2 linked regions of the Struthio camelus genome follow. The protein of the gene in region 1 purifies or fractionates together with the protein of each later gene. This does not show direct contact. Links are inferred from orthologs where the notes say so. Each region holds a gene or a part of one and is shown on either strand. Other genes may lie near its edges. The genes, in order: VSX1 and WDR20.

Evidence for each region.
Region 2: the proteins of VSX1 (region 1) and WDR20 purify together in Homo sapiens (affinity purification with mass spectrometry; 3 studies listed by BioGRID and IntAct, with this or other methods). This does not show direct contact. The link is inferred for Struthio camelus from reciprocal best matches to the Homo sapiens genes VSX1 and WDR20.

The regions. Positions count from the first base shown.
Region 1 is NC_090944.1:147,799,160-147,808,538, reverse strand, and holds VSX1 (visual system homeobox 1), read left to right. Parts: upstream 1-5,042; coding exon 5,043-5,430; intron 5,431-5,520; coding exon 5,521-5,599; intron 5,600-5,682; coding exon 5,683-5,806; intron 5,807-6,449; coding exon 6,450-6,630; intron 6,631-7,119; coding exon 7,120-7,385; 3' UTR 7,386-8,129; downstream 8,130-9,379. UniProt on the Homo sapiens protein: Binds to the 37-bp core of the locus control region (LCR) of the red/green visual pigment gene cluster. May regulate the activity of the LCR and the cone opsin genes at earlier stages of development. Dispensable in early retinal development.
Region 2 is NC_090946.1:71,325,168-71,335,056, forward strand, and holds the start of WDR20 (WD repeat-containing protein 20), read left to right. Parts: upstream 1-6,093; 5' UTR 6,094-6,194; coding exon 6,195-6,458; intron 6,459-9,889. UniProt on the Homo sapiens protein: Regulator of deubiquitinating complexes. Activates deubiquitinating activity of complexes containing USP12. Anchors at the base of the ubiquitin-contacting loop of USP12 and remotely modulates the catalytic center of the enzyme.

The sequences.
Region 1 (9,379 bases):
GGTTTTTCCGAGACAAGTCCCCCTGGAGAGACACCACAGCCCCAGCAGCGGCTTGCGTGTTGCCCACATGCTCTGCTATGTTAGATGCTCTACGAGGGCAGGATCGCCGCCCTATAGGGGACGGGTAAGAAGCCACACAGTCCACAGTGAAGGGTTAAGATACAGAGGGGCTTTGAGCCAGGGGCAGAGGGGGATGTTGCTGTTTCAGTCTCAGTGAACAGCTGCTTTACCCCAGGGTAGCTTCCGTTACGGCGGTGCAAGGTAACAAGCAATGAGGCTTCGCCCAAGTAACCCTTGGCGGAGGCTTTCTGCTCTTCTGCTCCGCAGCACGTCCTCGGGAGACCCCTGCCTTGTCGCTGATGATATGAGTGGGTTTGTCCCCTGCGGGGACAGCGAAGGAGAGGGAGGCCGAAGAAAACGCGTAACCGGACTTCTCGCCCCCGGGCTAGGTACGGGGCAGAAGGAGCCAAGAGCCTTCGCTGCCGCTCCCAGGCAGGGAGGAAATGCCGTTTTTCCATCCTCAAAATCCAGCAAAGCTCCACTCATGGGAAAAAGGAAGACCACAGACCATAGGCCTGCAAGGGAGAAGTTTCTTATTTCTTCCTCTGAATCCTTTCCCTCCTCCTCTGTCCTCCTCAGAGCGCGGCAGTGACACCAGCAACGCAGGTCCCCGTTGGAGGCGGTCGGGGGACTCTCTGCTGCCAGCGCCGCTCCACCTGTTCATCTGGGACACGTTCGTTTTTGGCACCGTGGCGGAGGTCTTCCTGGGGCACGTTGCAGAAAGCAGGTGAAAAGCAGACGCTGGAAGCGGGGAGGGCAGCTGGGAAGTCACTCGCGCCAAAGGTTTCGCGTCCCTCCCTCGCTCCGGAAAATAACAGCGGCGCTTTGCCTGGGGCACGTTTGGCAGGTAGGGACTGCCCGACGGGAGAGAAACGGAGAGGAGGACAAGGCAGCCCGGCGGTGACCTGAGTGGAAGGCGCCGGGGCCGCCCGAGTCAGCCGAGACGCGTCGACGGCCCTCGCCGCGGGCCGACTCATTTCGCCTTCGTGCCCTTGCCTAAATGAAAGCCAGCGGCCTAAATGAAGAAACTGGCTTGAAACCTTCCCGACCGGCAGGAAAGGGAGAATCTGGGTTGGGCTCACAGCTCAAGGTCGGTCAAGAGCTTTCCGCTGGTTTCGCGGACTCCCGGAAGGGCTGGGGCTGGAGGGGACCTCTGGAGACCACCTCCTCCGACCGCCCTGCTCAAGCAGCCTCGCCGTCCCTGGGCCGAGTCTTCCACGGCCAGAAAAGACCCCGCTCTGGTCCCCCAGGTGCAAGAGGGACCTGAGAAGCTGCGGCGGTGCCCACTTCTCCCATCAAGAGGAAAAAAGGAAATTCGAGGGCGCCGCAGCGGACGGCTGGTTTGCAGGGCCTGCCCGGGGCGGGACGAGGGTCTCCTCGGGGGGGCTGGTTTAGCGCACGTAACCGGGGGGCGGGGGGCGAACCCCCCTGTCCCTCGTGCCTCCACCCCGGCCGCCGGCAAAGCCATCGCCCTGGGTCGGAGGGCGCGCGGCGGCGGGGGGGGACCGCGGCGGGGGGCTATTCCCGACCCCCAGCTCAGTGCCAGCCTCCCCCCGGGGAGGGAACCCCCCTGAAGCCTCCGATTTGGGGCGCTGGGAGCATCTTCCCCCCCCCCGCCCCCCACATCAAACCCAGAAACTGGTGCCAGCTTTCCCGTGTGATCGACCTGATTCATATCTGAAGCAGGGTCTGGGGGGGTGAAAGCTGCCCCATCCCGCTGCTAACCCCCTAAACCAGGCCCCCCGGGACCTTCTCGCTCCCCCCGCGCCCCCCCGCCCCGTATCGCTGCAGGAGGTGGTGGCCCACCCCTCGGGGACCCGAGGCGCCCCCTCGCCGGGTCCCCCCTGGCGGGCGCCCTGCCCGCAGCGGGAGGCACCCTGGGGAAACTGGAGCAGGGGCCCATGTTCGATGCACTGCTCTTTAAGCGATGAATAATCTTTCGGCGTTGGGGAATCAGCGGAAAAAATCTTCCCCGGAAAATAACGAGCAGAGAAACATTTACTGATTAGTCTAATCCCAGATAATCCTATCTGATGAGCATATATCAAGATATCCTTTAACTGCTTTATTGTCCAAAAGACCAGCGGAGATGCCCGTCTCCATCACGGCTGGGGAAGGTGGCGGGCGGCAGCACGCGTATCCTCCCCCGGTCCGGCCCCAGTCCTGGTCCCGGTCCGGGTCCTGGTCCTGGTCCCGGTCCTGGTCCTGATCCCAGTCCTGGTCCCAGTCCCAGTCCTGGTCCCAGTCCAGGTCCTGGTCCCAGTCCCAGTCCCGGTCCCAGTCCCAGTCCCAGTCCCAGTCCCAGTCCCAGTCCAGGTCCAGGTCCTGGTCCCGGTCCCGGTCCCGGTCCCAGTCCCAGTCCCGGTCCCAGTCCTAGTCCCAGTCCCAGTCCCAGTCCCAGTCCCAGTCCCAGTCCAGGTCCTGGTCCCAGTTCAGGTCCTGGTCCCGGTCCTGGTCCTGGTCCTGGTCCCAGTCCAGGTCCTGGTCCCAGTCCCAGTCCCAGCCCAGGACCCGGTACCAGTTCAGGTCCTGGTCCCGGTCCTGGTCCTGGTCCTGATCCTGGTCCCAGTCCAGGTCCCGGTCCCAGTCCCAGTTCAGGTCTTGGTCCCGGTCCTGGTCCTGGTCCTGGTCCCAGTCCAGGTCCTGGTCCCAGTCCCAGTCCCAGTCCCAGCCCCAGTCCCAGTCCAGGTCCCGGTCCCAGTCCAGGTCCCGGTCCCAGTTCAGGTCCTGGTCCCGGTCCTGGTCCTGATCCTGGTCCCAGTCCAGGTCCTGGTCCCGGTCCCAGTCCCAGTCCAGGTCCTGGTCCCGGTCCCGGTCCCAGTCCAGGTCCCGGTCCTGATCCTGGTCCTGGTCCCGGTCCCGGGGACCGGAGCATCCCCGGTCCCGCACGGCGTCCCCCAGCCCCGGCCACACCGCCACATCCTGACCAGCTTGCCGGCGCGGCGCAGATTTAACTGCTATTTCCATTCCTGCATCTATCGGCTTTCTCTCGGGTTTGAGCTTTTATGTTTCATAAACTGATTAGGAGCAATTATGTATGCTTTATCCCCCAACTTTCCAAACGACTAGGCCATATGCATATTTAAGGCTTCATCATCTCTCCCAACAGCTCAGCCTCAACGTAAACTGCTGAAATCAAGCTGATTCTGGGACAACGTCAAAAATTAGGGTTTTATCCACTAATATCTGCTTGGGCAGGAAATTTGTTGTGGGCGGTGGCCGGATTAGGGCTTCTAATTACTGCGGCAGATCCTCCCCGGCCGGCGGTGAAAGTCGCCGCTTCCAGCAGCGCCAGCGCAGCCAAAGCGCTTGGGGAAAGTGAAGGTGCCCGGGGGGCCCCGGGGGGCCCCGTCCCCCTGCCCCAGGCCGGGGGGCCCCGGGGGCAGCGCGCCCCCCGAGCATCCCCCCTCCTGGGTGCGCGGTCCCCCCTCCCCGTTGCCCGGGGGCTTTGGGGGGGGGGGTGCGACGCCCCCTTCCCGCCGCCGTCCCGTTTGCCTTTCTCGGTGCAGCGCGCCATCGCCCCAAGCGACCCCCCCCCCACCCCAAGCCCCCAGCACCGGCCACGGCAATTATCCTAAATGAAAGTTATTGTTCTGCTAATCCCGGGAACAGCTTGCGAGGGGAGATTTGGGTCTTCCTTTAATAATGCAAAGTTAATGCGGAGTCCCCTTGTAATTATCTTTATCAGAAGGACCCTCGTCTAATCTGAGCGCGTAGCGGGGAGGCCGGCATCCGCCGCCCGCCCAAGCCTGCTGCAAACCCTTTCCCTAAACAGACCCGGGGGGGGGGGCCCAAACTGCAGCCCAGGTGCAAGAATCTGGGAGCCGCAAGGAGGCCAGGCCGGGGGTCCCGTCCCCAGGGGGCCGGGGGGGGGGGCGCAGCCGTCTAGGTGGGGGGGCTAACGGGGCGGGGGGGCCACCCGGGCGCCTGGGGAGGGCACCGAGGGCCACCGGAGGGGGCCCGGGGGGGGGCATGAGGGGGGAGGCGGGGGGGGCGGGCAGGGGCCGCGGAGCGGGGGGGCAGCGGGGGGGGAGCAGGGACCCGAGGGGGGGGACCGGGACCGAGGGGGGGACCGGGACCCGAGGGGGGGGACCGGGGCCCGAGGGGGGGGACCGGGACCGAGGGGGGGGACCGGGGCCCGAGGGGGGGGACCGGGACCGAGGGGGGGACCGGGACCCGAGGGGGGGGACCGGGGCCCGAGGGGGGGGACCGGGACCGAGGGGGGGACCGGGACCCGAGGGGGGGGACCGGGGCCCGAGGGGGGGGACCGGGACCGAGGGGGGGGACCGGGGCCCGAGGGGGGGGACCGGGACCGAGGGGGGGACCGGGACCCGAGGGGGGGGACCGGGGCCCGAGGGGGGGGACCGGGACCGAGGGGGGGACCGGGACCCGAGGGGGGGGACCGGGGCCCGAGGGGGGGGACCGGGACCGAGGGGGGGACCGGGACCCGAGGGGGGGGTGACCGGGGGCCCGAGGGGGGGGTGGCCGGGGGCGGAGGGGGGGAACGGGGCCCGATGGGGGGTGACCGGGGGCCGAGGGGGGGAAACGGGGCCCGAGGGGGGGGGGACCGGGGGCCCGAGGTGGGGGACCGGGACCCGGGGGGGGGGGTGGCCGGGACCCGAGAGGGGGGTGGCCGGGGGGCCCGAGGGGGGGGTGGCCGGGGCCCGAGAGGGGGGTGGCCGGGGGGCCCGAGGGGGGGGACCGGGACCCGAGGGGGGGGGACCGGGGGGCCCGAGGGGGGGGGGGCCGGGCCCCGAGGGGGGGGGGTGGCCGGGGCCCGAGGGGGGGGTGGCCGGGGCCCGGGGGGGGGGGCCGGGGCCCGAGGGGGGGGGGTCCGGGGGCGGGGGGCTGGTGGCCGCTAATCCGGGGATTGGGAGCGCGGCGGCGGCGGCGGCGGCCCCGGGGCGTGATTGGAGCCGGGGCCGGTGGCGGGCGGATAAAAGGGGCGGCGGGCGGCGGGGCCGGGCCAGGCGGGGGCGGCGATGCCGGGCCGGGCGGAGCCGTCGGGGGGCCGCGCGGCGGCACCGGCACCGGCACCGGCACCGGCACCGGCACCGGCAGCGGCAGCGGCAGCGGGACGCAGCGCCCTGCCCGAGCGGGCGGGCGGCGCGGGGCGGCGCGGGGCCAAGGGCTTCGCCATCACCGACCTGCTGGGGCTGGAGGCCGAGCTGCCGCCCCCCCCCGGGCCGCCGCCGTCCCCCCCCCTCCACCACCACCACCACCCCGCCGGGCCGCCGGCCGCCGCGGGCTTCGGGGGGGGCGCGGGGCTGGGGCTGCTGTGCGGCTGGGCGGCCCCGGGGCGGCCGTGCCTGCTGCCGGGGCCGGGGTCGCCCGTCGGGGCCGCCCGCCGGCGGCGGGAGCGCGTCTCCGGTAAGCGGGGTGCGGGGGGCGGCGGGGGCCGGCGGGGTGCCGAGCGCTGCCCGCCGCAGTGTCCCTCTCGCCCCCTCCGCGCGCTGCCAGGCGAGGACAGCCCGTCCGGCGAGGCGGCGGCGGCGGCGGCGTCGAGCTCGCCGGCCAAGAGGAAGAAGCGGCGGCACAGGTACGAGCCCCGAGGCAGGGCCCGGCCCGGGCCCGCGGCCGGGGGTCCGGCCCGCCCCGCAGGACCCGCTCTCCTCCCCGCAGGACGGTGTTCACGGCTCACCAGCTGGAGGAGCTGGAGAAGGCGTTCACCGAAGCTCACTACCCGGACGTCTACGCCAGGGAGATGCTGGCCGCGAGGACGGAGCTGCCGGAGGACAGGATACAGGTAGGTGGCCGCGCGGGACCTCGAGCTGGATGCCCACCTTCCCCCCCCCCCGACACGCTCCCGGGCTGCGCTAGGAGACCCCCAACCAGGGGCACGGCGCTCCTCCGGCCCCCGTACCCCCGGTGGGGGCAGGCGGCCCGGCCGCGGCGCCGCTGGGCCAAGCCGTCTCACCTTGGGTGGCTCACGCCTCCTCTGAGGGACACGGGGCGGCTCGCTGGCTTGGCTGAGGATGGGGCAGCGGTTGGGTTGCACCTGCCCCGCAGGAAGGCAGCGGGGGGGCTGGGGGGGAGAGGAGCACCGGCACCCTCCGCCAGCACCTGCCCCGCGGACCCCTTCTCCTGGAGACGAAGGTGGCTTCGTGCGGCCGCCCGGCGGGCAGGCGGAGCCCACGGGCTCCTCTTGGCGACGTTGGCTGGGGACGCCTGGTGTAACGTGTGCTCCCTCTCCCCCCCCCTCCTCCTCTCCCCTCTGGCTCACACCCACGTGCGTGCCCTCCCCGCATCCCCCCCGACACCACCTCTCGGCGGTCCCTCGGCCCTGGCCGCGCGCTGCCCCGCGCGCAACGGGCCCCGCCGGCTGGCCGCGGGTGCCGTCTCCTCCCCTCTCCCACCCCTCCGCGCTCTCCTGGCTGTTACCCCTGAAGGTTTGGTTTCAGAACCGAAGAGCCAAGTGGCGGAAGAGGGAGAAGCGCTGGGGCCGGAGCAGCGTGATGGCCGAGTACGGCCTCTACGGGGCCATGGTGAGACACTCCATCCCTCTGCCCGAGTCGATCATCAACTCCGCCAAGAGCGGGCTGGTGGGATCCTGCGCCCCGTGGCTGCTGGGTGAGCTGGAGCACGGTGCGGCGGGGGGACGGGGCCGGCCACGGCGCCCAGCGAGCTAGCGGTCACCTCTCGTGCCTGGCCACGCGCGCCCGCCCTCTCCCAGGACGGAGCAGGGCCTCAGCCACGAGCTTTGAGCAGGCTGCGGCGTAGCTTGGCCCTTTCGCTCCCTCCCTCTGAAGAGGAGCTGGGGAAGGGGGACCGCTTCCCCGCGGCCGGGCACGGCCCCGCGCTCGCGCCGTGTCGGGGGCTACCTGACCCGCTCCAACGGGGCGGCCCGGGAAGCCCGGGCCCTTCGCAGCAGCCCTCTCCCGGCGAGCCTTTCCCGCCGCCCGCGAGCGGCAGGTGCCCACGGGTCCCGCTGCGGAGCGGCCTCCTCTGGCGGAGAGCAGGCAGCAGGGGCGCGAGCCAGAGCCAGCGCGAGGTTCCCCTCCGGCTGGGGCCGCGGGCGGGCAACGCGCGCCCTCTGCTCTGCTCTTTCCCCTCGGCAAGGCATGCACAGAAAGTCCGTGGAGGCGAGCAGGAAGGCGGAGAGCCGGGAGAAGCCGGCGGACGGCTGGCGAGAGGAGCGGACCGAGGAGGACCGCGGAGGGGAGCCGGCCAGCGCGCAGAGGGGCTCTGACCAGCTGGGCCCCGTGATCGATTCGGGGGACGCGGCCATCGACCTCTCCAGGACGGCCGGGCGCGGGAAGAGAAGCGCGCTGGGCCGGTGCGTCAGCGGGGACCCCGCCGCGGAGCAGGAGGACAGGGACCGCTGAGCTCGGGCTGCCCGGCCAGCCCCCTGCGATCCTAAGAATATTTATTGCTATATGTATATATTTTTTTCCTCCTCAGATAATTGAACTTCTATCTGAATTCAGGGCATTGTAAAACTGAACCCTCCCCTCCGCCCCCCCGCTTCTCAGCTGCTCGCCTCTCAGCAGAGCAGAGAGGCGTCCGAAGCTGGCCAAAAGCGGTGGGAAACCAGGACCGTGCTGTGGGCAGCACGGACGGCCTCTTGGGCAGAGCTTCCCTTCGCCCGGGGCTGCGCGCGGGGGCCCGTCCATCGCCGGCAGCGCCCGCGCGCCTCTCCCGCCCCGAGGGCTCCGGCACGTCCTCCGGCCGCCGCCAGCTGACGTGCCGCCGCAGCCTCGCCACCGCGTTTACGCTGCGTCGCGGTCGGGCCGAGGGACGGAGGCGCTCTTATTTACGCAACCACCTTCGCACGCGCTTGAACGTCGCCTGCCGTACCGGGCACGCCAACAGAGCGGCCTTTCCGAAAACCAAGCCGTAGTACCCCGGAACAAGCGCACGATGTGTGGGTCGACGCAGGAGACCGTTCCGGGAACGTCTGTGAGAGCGCAACGCCCCCGCCGTTCCTCGGCGGTCTGACTTCTGTCCGAAAGCACTTTAGCCTCTGTCTGTCTGGTTCTGGTTTTTTTTCTTCTGAACGTGGCTCTGCCTGTTTTGTCCATCGCTTATTTATTACGCCCCCATAAATAAAGCTGTGGTGTAGCTTCGGTTTTCATGCTGTGCGTGCATCCCCCCCCTCCGCCGCCCCGCCACCTCTCAGGGAAACGGGCGCACGGCAAACGCAGCCGGCGCGGCAGAAAACCGTACGGCGGGGCTGCGCGGGCAGCACGGTTCAGGAAAGGATGAGCCAGGGCTTATTGCAGCAGCAATTACGCGCTGCAAGAGCCGAGATTTAGCACGTTGGAGGCCTAATCCTGCCTGAGCAGCATTTGCAAACCCGTTATGTGGGTTGTGCCGTGCTGGCACTGGTGTCTGGCAGCTTTTTTTTTTCCCCTTTTTGCCCTGCCCGCGCGCGGCTGGCCTGGCTCACCGCGTCGCTCCGGGGGCAGAGCGCAGCAACGGCAAACGCCGGGGCGCCTTCCCCGGCCCGGGGCAGCCCAGCCTGGCGGCCTTCCCGCTCTCACCCCCGGCTGCAGGAGGGGACTCGCGGGGCAGGCTGCCAGCCTGCTGCCCCGAGGTCACTGCAGCGCGCGCCGCCCCCGAACCGCCTCTGCCCCAGGCAGGGACTCGCGCCAGCTGCCCAGCCGGCCGCGGACCAAGGGACGCGGAGCGGGGCTAAAACGGGACCACGTTGGCTTGTTTCTCGGCTTCGCCAGGAGCGGGCGGCCGCTGGCTGCCAGGCACGGGCCCGGGGCGGCGCTGCCGGCTGGCCCCGCTCGCCGGTAACGCGCGCTTCGGCTGGGCGGCCCCTGCGGGGCTGCTGCCCGGGCCCGCAGACCGGCCGCCCGCCGCCACCGCCCCTTAAGGCCCTGCAAGCGCTCCCTCGCGCCGGGCCGGCCCGGCCCAGGCGCGGGCTGTCCGGGCTCTCACCCCCGCCTTGTCCACCCCCGCCCAGCAGATCCCGGCCAGGATCTGGGGATCCTGATCCAGCAGATCCTGGCCAGGATCCTGGGATCCCCACCCAGCAGATCCTGGCCAGGATCCTCGGGTCCCAGCCCAATAGATCCCAGCCAAGATCCCAGGGTCCCCGTCCAGCAGATCCCAGGATCCTGACCCAACAGATCCTATCCAGGATCCTGGGATCCCTGTCCAGTAGATTCCAGCCACGATCCCAGGATCCCCACCCAGCAGATCCCGGCCACAATCCCAGGATCCCCACGCAGCAGATCCCGGCCAGGATCCCGGGATCCTGATCCAGGAGATTCCGGCCACAATACCGGGACCCTTTCCCAGCAGATCCCGGTCAGGATCCCGGGATCCCCATCCAGCAGATCCTGGCCACAATCCTGGCATTCCCACC
Region 2 (9,889 bases), on another chromosome or scaffold:
TGTTAATTCATAGCACCTGGCCATAGAAACACGGAGGCAAAAGACAACAAATGTCACAGGACTATGTGTACTTGATTAAATGATTACTGGTAAGTATATGTTAGTTCAGAATATAATATTGTATGAGCTGGATAAGGATGATTGTTTCACGTAAACTGGAAGAGCAGGGACCCAAGACCATTGCCTGAGAGCTGACAGTTTTTTATGATGCATTAAAATTGTTGTGTGGTGAAATTGTAAGCTACATATGGTAATGACATAAAAATACACGTGTCATAGCAATAAATCCCCCTTCTCCTCAGCCGGTCCCTCTTCTCTTTGCCTTTAAGGTTACAAAATCTGTAGCATAAAAAATACTCCCCCTTTGATTAAAAGATTGCATTGGGAAATTTTCTTGAACCGTACATAGCTTATATCCATTCACCAATTTTCCAGCTCCCAGATAGGAAGATGTCCTGGATGCCAGAGGGATGTCTAAGATTTGGTAATTTAACTTATGCCCTTCTTGTCTTGCAAAAAGAGACATGAGCAACCTGACCATGACAATAATGAAGCCAGTGCATAATTCAGAGAAGGGAGCTCTCCTTCCTTTAAACTTGCAATAATTCAACTCGCACTGAATGAGCAGCTTTTGCTACCAAAGCTCCAGTGCTTCAGGCTGCTCATAGAAAAGCTCATGAAAAGGCTGATTTGAACATAATCTATATAAAACGTCAGTGCTTCATCTAAAGCAATTTGGAGTCAGTCATTCAGGCCATGGAACTGAAATTACACTTGTGACACTGATGGAGAATCCTCTCCTGTGACTGGACAGCAAGCAGATAGCCGTTCTTCTGAAGCTCTCTGCAACAACATGTTTATTCTGAGACAGTATTGTTTCAGGTGAGAAAGGCAATAAGGAAATGTGGAATGTGATAACAGGTTTCCAGTCCTTTTTTGAGACATACATCAAAGCAACAGAAAAAAACGACTCTATCCGAATGTTCTTTGCTTGTGGATTTCTAGAAGAATCAATTCTCTCCCCAGTCTTTTTTCACACAACAAACTAGAGTGCCAGCACACAATATACAGAGGAACAACAGTTCTGCTGCTGCCAAAGAGCTAAATCTAGGCACTAGGCAGCTGAGTGGCCAGGACACAGCTCATCCTCTAACAAGCAAACTTTACTTAATACATCATATAAAACTACGCAAAACTAAGCATATGATCTATAGTTGCCCTTAAAAAGATCTCACCATCAGTTAGCCAGATGCCATGGGAGCCTGAGGCTCTGAGGATAAGCTTAAGAGGTCCATGTAGACATATCTCTTTTATGTTCAAAATGTTCGGAGGCATTTGACTCTGGTCACCTTTTACAACTTTGTTAGTTCTTTATTTATTATTTATTATTTATTATATATCATTTCCCATAAAGGCGGCTTTTCCTCCCTTGGCTGTTAAAGTCCACTCGTTATCTTTCCAAGGACACTTTTTTCATTTTTTTCAGTTTTCCTTATCTTCTGCTTAGGGAGCCTTAAGTCACACAACGGCAGCTACTTTTCTTGTTAATTTGCAGGGTTAGCTAACCGTTAACTAACTGTTGCTCATGCCAGCTCCAGGCTGCTTGAGCCTCAATGCCTATCAATAACCATGTATTATCACAACACTATCACCAAGATGACTTTCACAATAAAAAATCAGCTGAACGAAAGAGGTGATTCTGATGAGCAGAGAAAATAATTTTGCAGTATTTACGTACTGAGTGTTCTTGGCCTTCTTGATGGAGCTAAACTCTCACAGTGCATCACTGACAATCATCGCCATCTAGGAATTTGAGTTTCATACGAAACCTTGATCAGTGCTGCTGGCCAACAATCAGAACCTTACTTCTTCACAGCTTTGTCATTCCTCAGCTGGATTATAGCGATACCGTATGCATGGATATGATGACTTCCATAGTTAGGGAGCTTTGAGAAGTACAGAATGCTGTAGCATCTCTTAGAAATACAAACTATTTGTAGGCCTATAAAACCAATCTTTCCACTGGATTTAAATCAACTTCATAATCTCAGTCTTATCTTTAGAGAGCATAATCTCCAGGATATATAAAGCTTCAAGATAAGAGATGTTATTGATAAGAATGGTACTCTTCACTACAGAGGTAACCTAGTCTGTGCAGGAGACAACGTTCACGGAGATTGACTGCAAACAGCAAAATGAACTCATCCAAATTCACAAGAGAGTTCACTCTCATCCATTCCCAACTGCAAAGCATATTTCTTTCACCTTGCCTTCTCTAATCTAAATGTTTGTACTTAAAAATATGTTTTTTTAAGTAATAACAACCCAAAATTATGAAAACAAAATGTTTCACATGCTTTTCCTCTTGGGGAGTGATGAGAGAAAAAACAATATACACGATATTCCAGTTTAGTACAGACTTAATTGCTTAGAAAATACCCTTTCATTTTGTAATATATATCACAATGTATTATCAATGTTTTTAGTGTTAAATGTGTGCAGTGCTTAAGAAAAGATTCTTAATACAAATAAGGAACTCACAATTTATATTGTTTAAAAATATACCATAAACAATATTTTCTCATGCTGAAAGCAGGTTAGATGTCTGTTAAAGCGGGTAAGCCATACGGGTAAGTCATAGGAAATATATTTCCAACATCATAATTTTTTTTTTCTCCCTGTATTACATTAAGGGATCTTGCATGTCCTTCTCACCAACATCAGTCTTTTGACTCGTTCAGATGTACTGCTTGCAGATCTCTGTGTACTTGTGCCTGCTAGTAATTCATGCACGTTCATAGATTCCGTAAAAAATGACATGTTGCAGAGCTTTTGATACTCTGAAGTCAGTCACCCACTAAATATTTAAATTCTTTTTGGCATCAATAGTCCAAGCAAGACTTGACAGACCTGCTGTAGTAGATAGACATTGCAGAGATGGTCTCCTGATTGCCTGCCTCTGCAAGCAGTGCATATTAGAATAGACATTTTTTTGCATGATAGAATATGGGTGTAGTCATCGTCCTTTTCTTTGGCTCAGAAGCGTTGATAAAAGCGTTCACTGGTATCAGTTGTTGCACTTTTAGGGAAGTAACAGATGGCTCGCAAATTCAAGCACAGAAAAGTTTTGTTGATAATTGTACTCACATTGCATAAGTCTTAAGGCTCCAATTTTCTGCTGCCAGCAAAAGCCTTATTAATGCTGCATCCTGAAAAATTGCAGGACCAAATTATATTCTACATAAATTGATCTCAGAGGATCACACTATTTTATGAATGCTACTCAATTTTGCTCATGTCTGTTTTCCAACTTGCCAAAACATTTGGGAGAAGTAAAGAAAGGATTCAGTAGTGATTCTGACTGACTTTTGATGTATTGATTGTGTAGTGCCTACAAAATAACACATCTATGGGCATCCTCATGGGACTATTTCAGAACTATGATCTTTAGTTAGCTTGAAACAGAAGAATTTACAGTGGCACAGAGAACTTTTTCATGAGGCTTAACTGTGTAATCTCTTTTTTCCCATTCCTTAACCAAGTATTTGATAAGGACTGTTGATGGGGCTGTACAATAGTGTTCTTGTGACTTGCAGCTGTGTTTTTGAAATGAATATTTGTCTTGGATTCTCTGTGGAATCTCTCAGCAGCTTTTATTGATGTTTCTTGGTAAATGTTAAACACTACATCAGGTCTTTGACTTTCTGCACCATCATGTACTGCTGATAACCAGGTACGTGTTAACGTTGTTTATTCTTTGGATCACACTCATTCCATCAGTGACAGATGGCCTGCTGTGCTTTCAGTAAGATTTGCATTCCACGCAATCCTTCTACCAAAGTTGCCTACTTTGTTTTTCATAGTGACCTTGCCAATGTTATCACTGTGTAATGAATAAGACATGCCAAGTCTGCCAGCTTGGAGCAACAATTAACATTCTTGGTTAAATTCCTGTCTGCTTTGAATATTATTATTATTTAGAGATCCTTGCATTTCCTGCTTTTCTTGTGATGACTGAAAACATTCTGATCTTCTTCTCTTTGGAAGTCTGTACATGACATTTCTGCATGAAAGAATGACTCTCAAGATGATGATTCCTAAAATAACCACAGTTCTACTCACCTACTTTATGTGCTTTTAGGAGGTCATCAGTACCATCTGGCAGGGCTGGCTGATAAGCTGACAAGATCTATTGGTCATTATTGATTGGATTTATCTCACAAATTCCAAGCAAGGCTCCAACACCCGATCTTTTTAAAGGTTATCTGTACCTGTTCAGTTGTTCACTCGGATATCTACTCTATGAGTTAGCCTGGAGGTCTTCAGCTCTTTCATGTGTCTCAGTTACGTTGTAATAATATTTTGATGCTCAGCAGCAAGATGGTATTTAGCCACAAACGAAATCATTTTTAACTAAATTGATTTGAGACTAAATCCCTTTTGCCCCCTGGGGTCTGAGTGGACTTCTGTAGTTGAGCTGATCTAATGGATAGCAAGGGAGGTAGAGGTCCTGCTTCCCTCCTGCTCTGCCACACATTCCTGCCCCCTCCCCTACACAGTTACTGTTTTTCATCTGATACCATTCATTTCACATTTAGAGGAGGGGTTAACTCTCTGCCCATTTATCTTTCTGAAATGGCTCCCCATGAGGTCAGATGAGCACCACTGCTTGTGAAGGAAGTAGCAGCAGCAGATAATCACAGTCAGGAATGAAGAGAGCAGGACACCTCCTTTGGTAGCAGCCACATTAGACCAACTCAGTTACAATATGAAACTATACCTTTAAAGTGCATTTTTTATTTTTACTTTTAGGTGATCTAACTCTGTGCTGCTTAGCTTCTCCCAGTTGCACATTCCTAACTCCTCCCTTATTTTGGCTTTACCAGTTCTGGGATGAGTTGGATGAGCTCAGTTGCTGATCAGCAGTTTCCTTGTCTGAGAACCTGCCATTTCTTTTTGTGGGGTCTGCTTTCAAGCTGCTCTGACTCAACCTTTGGTTGCACGATTGCTAGAACTGATGCAAGAGAGGTAGTAAAAATATGCAGCTGAAGACAGAGATCAAAACCCCTTTTTATAGTGGGAGATCAGTCTTAGATTAGCTTAAGTCAGCCATAATTTCAAGCCACGAGGCTGTAGTTACGACAACCTCTTTAAACCGAAACTGCTGCCGCCGAAAGAAAGTCTTTCCTCCCTACCCAGTGAAACAATCCCTTCCGACCCCGTGCAACTTCCTCCCTTGTGCCTGTAAGGGGCAAAGGGGCATTGATCTGGTTCACCATGCAACACAGCCAGCTGGATGACGATCAGAACAATGAAGTACATTACGGGACAACCAGTTTTGCAGGTTAATGTTCAGCTGGGCCAACTCCCCAGCCTGGCTCTGCATGCAGCCATCAGCTTAAGCAGAGACCAGTGCCGAGCTGGAGGGATGCTGGTACTGCTTCCTTTAGGAGCAGTGCTGGCCTGACTTGCAACGTGAACGGCATGTTGTATTTGTTACCCCTTCAACAGGCTTGCTACCCCGCGGGACTCTCCCAGCCAGCCTTAGAAACCCCACCTGAGCCAGCAGTTTGGCACCTCGAGGACACGCCAGTGACAACCTGCGGGCAAAGCTGGCCTGGGCCACAACAAAACAGTAGCTCAGTACAGAAAGCCAAGGAGCTGGCACCCCATTTCCATTTCTGTGACCACCCGGGGAAAAGGCTCAAACGCGCACAGCCGTTATCGTAACCCTGCAAAAAACCACTGCTCGGCGCACACCGAAATCCAGCTTCGGCGCCTCAGGCGGCGGGGGTGGTTACCATCGCGCCTCGCGCGCTGTCAGGGACAGGCGCTCCGGCCCTGAGGCGACGAATTTCTGTCAGGTACAACCCCCGCCCCGCACCCGCCAGGCGCAACCCCGCCGCCCCCCGCCATCTTGAGCCGCCCCCTCCGCAGCCTCCGCTCCGCCCCGCCCGGCACGCGCCCCGCCCCCACCCCACGCCCGAGGCTCCGCCCCTCGCCGCCAGCGCCCACCCAAGGGCCGGCCACCTGGCGCATGCGCAGACGGGCAGTAAACAGGCAGCGCCGCTCCGCCCCTTTACGCCGTTTGCGTGGCCGCCTCCGCGTAGGGCCGCGCGAGCCCCGGCGGCGGCGGCGGCGGCGACGGTTGCGGTTGCGCAGTGGAGCTACATCCGGGCACTGGGGCAGGATGAATGCTCCTTTCCAAGATGGCGGCGGAGGGAGGAGGGAAGGAGATGAACGAGATTAAGACCCAGTTCACCACCCGGGAGGGGCTGTACAAGCTGCTGAGCCACTCGGAGTACAGCCGGCCTAACCGGGTGCCCTTCAACTCGCAGGGCTCCAACCCGGTCCGCGTTTCCTTCGTCAACGTCAACGACCAGAGCGGCAACGGTGACCGGCTCTGCTTCAATGTGGGCCGGGAGCTGTACTTCTACATCTACAAGGGGGTCCGCAAGGTACCGGGGCTCGGCCGCCGGGCGAGGAGAGGGGCTGGGGGGGAGCTCCGCGGCGGGCCGCCCCCCCCGCCGAGGGCTCGCCGGGTGCCAGCGGGGGGCGGCGGGGGGCTGGGGCCGCCCCGCGGGGCCGCTTCTCCTTCGGGCCCCCCGGGGCCTCGCCTTGGGGCTGGCAGCTCCTCGGTTGGGGCTCGGCTGTAGCTGCCGCTTTAGCTGCTCTCCCGATCAGCTGGTTCGTAGGGTAGCGGTTCGAGGAGGGGGAGCGTAGGCCTGGCCTGGAGGGCTGTGCGAGGTGGACTGGCGCTGGCTTAGTGCTGAAGGGCTACGTCAAAATACGGTTGTCACCAGCGGTAGGTGTGTGGGGGGCCCTTCTAAGGGATGTGATTGCTTGGCCCCTCCTTGGCGTACAGGGGTGAGGGCTGGCTTTCCAATAGTGAGGCAACTCGGGGCCTCTTTCACCTGCTGCTTCAGGTGTGAGGTTGCTGGACACTAATGCTTGGCATGGTTATGGTGATGTCAGATCCCTGCTTCCAGGATGGTGGGAGAGCATATCTTCCTAGCCTTAACCAAGTAGTTACAGCTTTCACTTTAATTTTAGGCCTTTATTGTGGCTTTGAAGTGTGGACTGTTTCTAGGATTGTCTCTAAATGGGGGCAGTGCAATGAGCTACATGTCAAATAGTTAACACAGAGAAAGCTGTTATTATAGGAAAGAAATGTTGATTCAACCTAAGAGATCCTCCTTAAATGTTAATATTTGATGCACGGCTAACAGCGTGTGTTTTTGATGTCTCAGTTCACTGTATTTATAAACAAACTTGTTCTGCCTGTTGTTTATTAGGGTCCTTGGCCTCATGGGATTTAGTGGGGCGTTCAGAGTTTGTCATGCTGTGTGAATGCACGTCACTCAATATATGTAAACATAGATGTCGTGATTGTCAGTTTTCTGTTTTCTGCTTTGAAAAGTGGATGTTCGTTACCTTACGTATTTGAGACTCAGCAGCCATAATGTGAGTACCTTGGAGTCTTCCTGCTTGTAGCCCACCAAGCAACAGGGAATGAAGGCACAGAGAACTAGTGACGTACCCAAGGTCACGCAGGAAGCTTGTAGGCGAGCAAAGAATTATACCTGAATCTACAAAGACTTAAGCTAGTGCCCACATCACTCCTCCACCTATATAAAATGTAAGCGCTAACTGGAGATAAAAGCTGCCTGGGTATCTGTTGACTATGACTTGACAGATCTGTCCTATGTAATTGTATGAAAAAAATGCCTACAGATTTTGGTTTCACGCTTTAATGGATTTTAACAATCTACTTATGTTGTAAATAATATTTAAACAAAGATTTCTTTAAGTACCTGATGAGTGTTTTGTATCAAACATGCAGTTGCTATCTTTAATGCTTGCAAGATATTGTGGGTGGCACTTATCTCTAAAAATCCGTCTCTTAAATTATTGCCATGTTTGGATTCATTTTTCCATACAAGTAGCTGCAGACTTCTCTAATCTATATTGCAGAGCAGGTCTTCATGTAGTGTAGTAATTTTACATGTGTTTCTTACCAGTTGTCTTAGTCATCTTTTACTGCACTGCAAAGAATAAAAATCTAAATCCTGGAAGTACATTGAAAATAGGGAATAACTTTTTCAAATTAAAAGGCTAAGCTCAAAGTATTTTTCTAATACTTTTCTCTAGATACTAAAAGCTGTTTTTGTGTGTTGCGGTACACAGTAACTGAAAATTTTGGTTTGTCAAACTGTTAACTTGTGAGCTTTGAGGCATACCTGTTACAACATTAAATACTTTATTTTTTTCTCTCTGATTAGTGTAAAACATACTCATCCAGAACAGATTTTGTTTCAATAAGCTTTTACAGTATTACCATTTTAAAAAATAGTGTATATCCTATATATATATAACATTCACTTTAGTACAATGAACCTAGAGAAACAGCTGAAATAGATTAAAACATGCTTAATGTAAATAATTTAACTGAGAATGGGAAAGATGGTCTATCTTAAACTTGTAATACTTGTTCCTTAGGAACTTATTTTGAAATTATTCAGTTGGAAGTCATTGTTTTGTCTATGTAGAAAATTGACATGAGAACAAGGTTTTGATATGATCATTTGAGCTTTTCAAAATCAGAAGTTACGTATTTTGTAGCTATCCTAACAGAAGAGAGCTACTGTTGCCTAAATTGATAGTGAATAACACTCTCTTAAACTGGACAAACTATCAAACTCTTTGCAAGCCTTTCTGTTTGGGGAGGGGATGGGCATTTAAAACTGACTGATCTGTGAATCTCTGCATGACACAAAGAACAAGATGATGTTAGTGAAGCTGTATTGTATATATCTGGTAGCTTGCTTTTTTTCTTTCTTTTTTTTTTTTTTTTTAAGGTCCGCTTCTTGCTGACAAAATTCTACACTTTTACTGAAATGAGTGAAAGAGTCATGAGGGCTGTATTTTAAGGAGCCGTGTATGTTAGGTACCTAGATAATTCTTGCGTTGGTAATCCAGTGCAGGTCAGTACACATCAAGTAAGATTCAGGCTTAAGCCATGGATGATGCTTAAGAATAAATGGTCTGAATACTGAGTCAAAGATACTACTTGAAAGGCTATTCCTTAAAATCACTGATACCAAACTTTATTCTTTTAGTTTCCATTGGATACTAGATATGCTTTATCTGCTATATCTACTTTGTAAATTGTCTTTTTACCTAGACTACTGCTGTGTGTGTTTTATTTAGGAAACGAAACTTATGTGAGGATCACCATTTCCAGGGATCTTTCTTTAACCTTGATCCTTCTTTCAAGAAACTTGGATTAAAAGTTATGTCTAGCTCCCAGAGCAGTCGTGCAGAACTTGTAATGCTGATATATGATGATGATAGTTCAGGGAAGAGGGTTGGACAGCACTTTGAGCTGTCCTTAGAGGCTTTATGGAGAAAACACAAATTTCTTCTTTGCATCTTTAAAAAGGAAGCTGAGTTTCTACTATTTCATGGTTTTATGTTACCTTCCTCAATGAAAGCACATCTGTTATGAGCCAGTGTTTTTTTCATATTGAAATTTGCACAGTTTTTTTTTTTTTTTATTTATTTATTAATAAGGCAATGAAGGTTTCCAGAAAACTGCTACTTTCTGTTTTGGATCCACTGAAAAGGGAAGTGAGCCTATAGTTAAGTAAAGAGAAATTAAACTGTAATGGAATGAGATGTGGTCGCTTTACTTATGCAAAATATATAATTATTCCTGACTGCACTGAGTATTATTTGGCTTTCACTTTCAGTCCTCCTCAGCTTTGACTTTGAGGCTAGATGTGTACAATGATGTCTTGTTAAATGAAAGTGGTGAATTTCCATGAACTTAACTGATTTAGGGACAGCTGAAAATGATGGTCTTGCAGTGTAGCATCCTTCTGGCAGC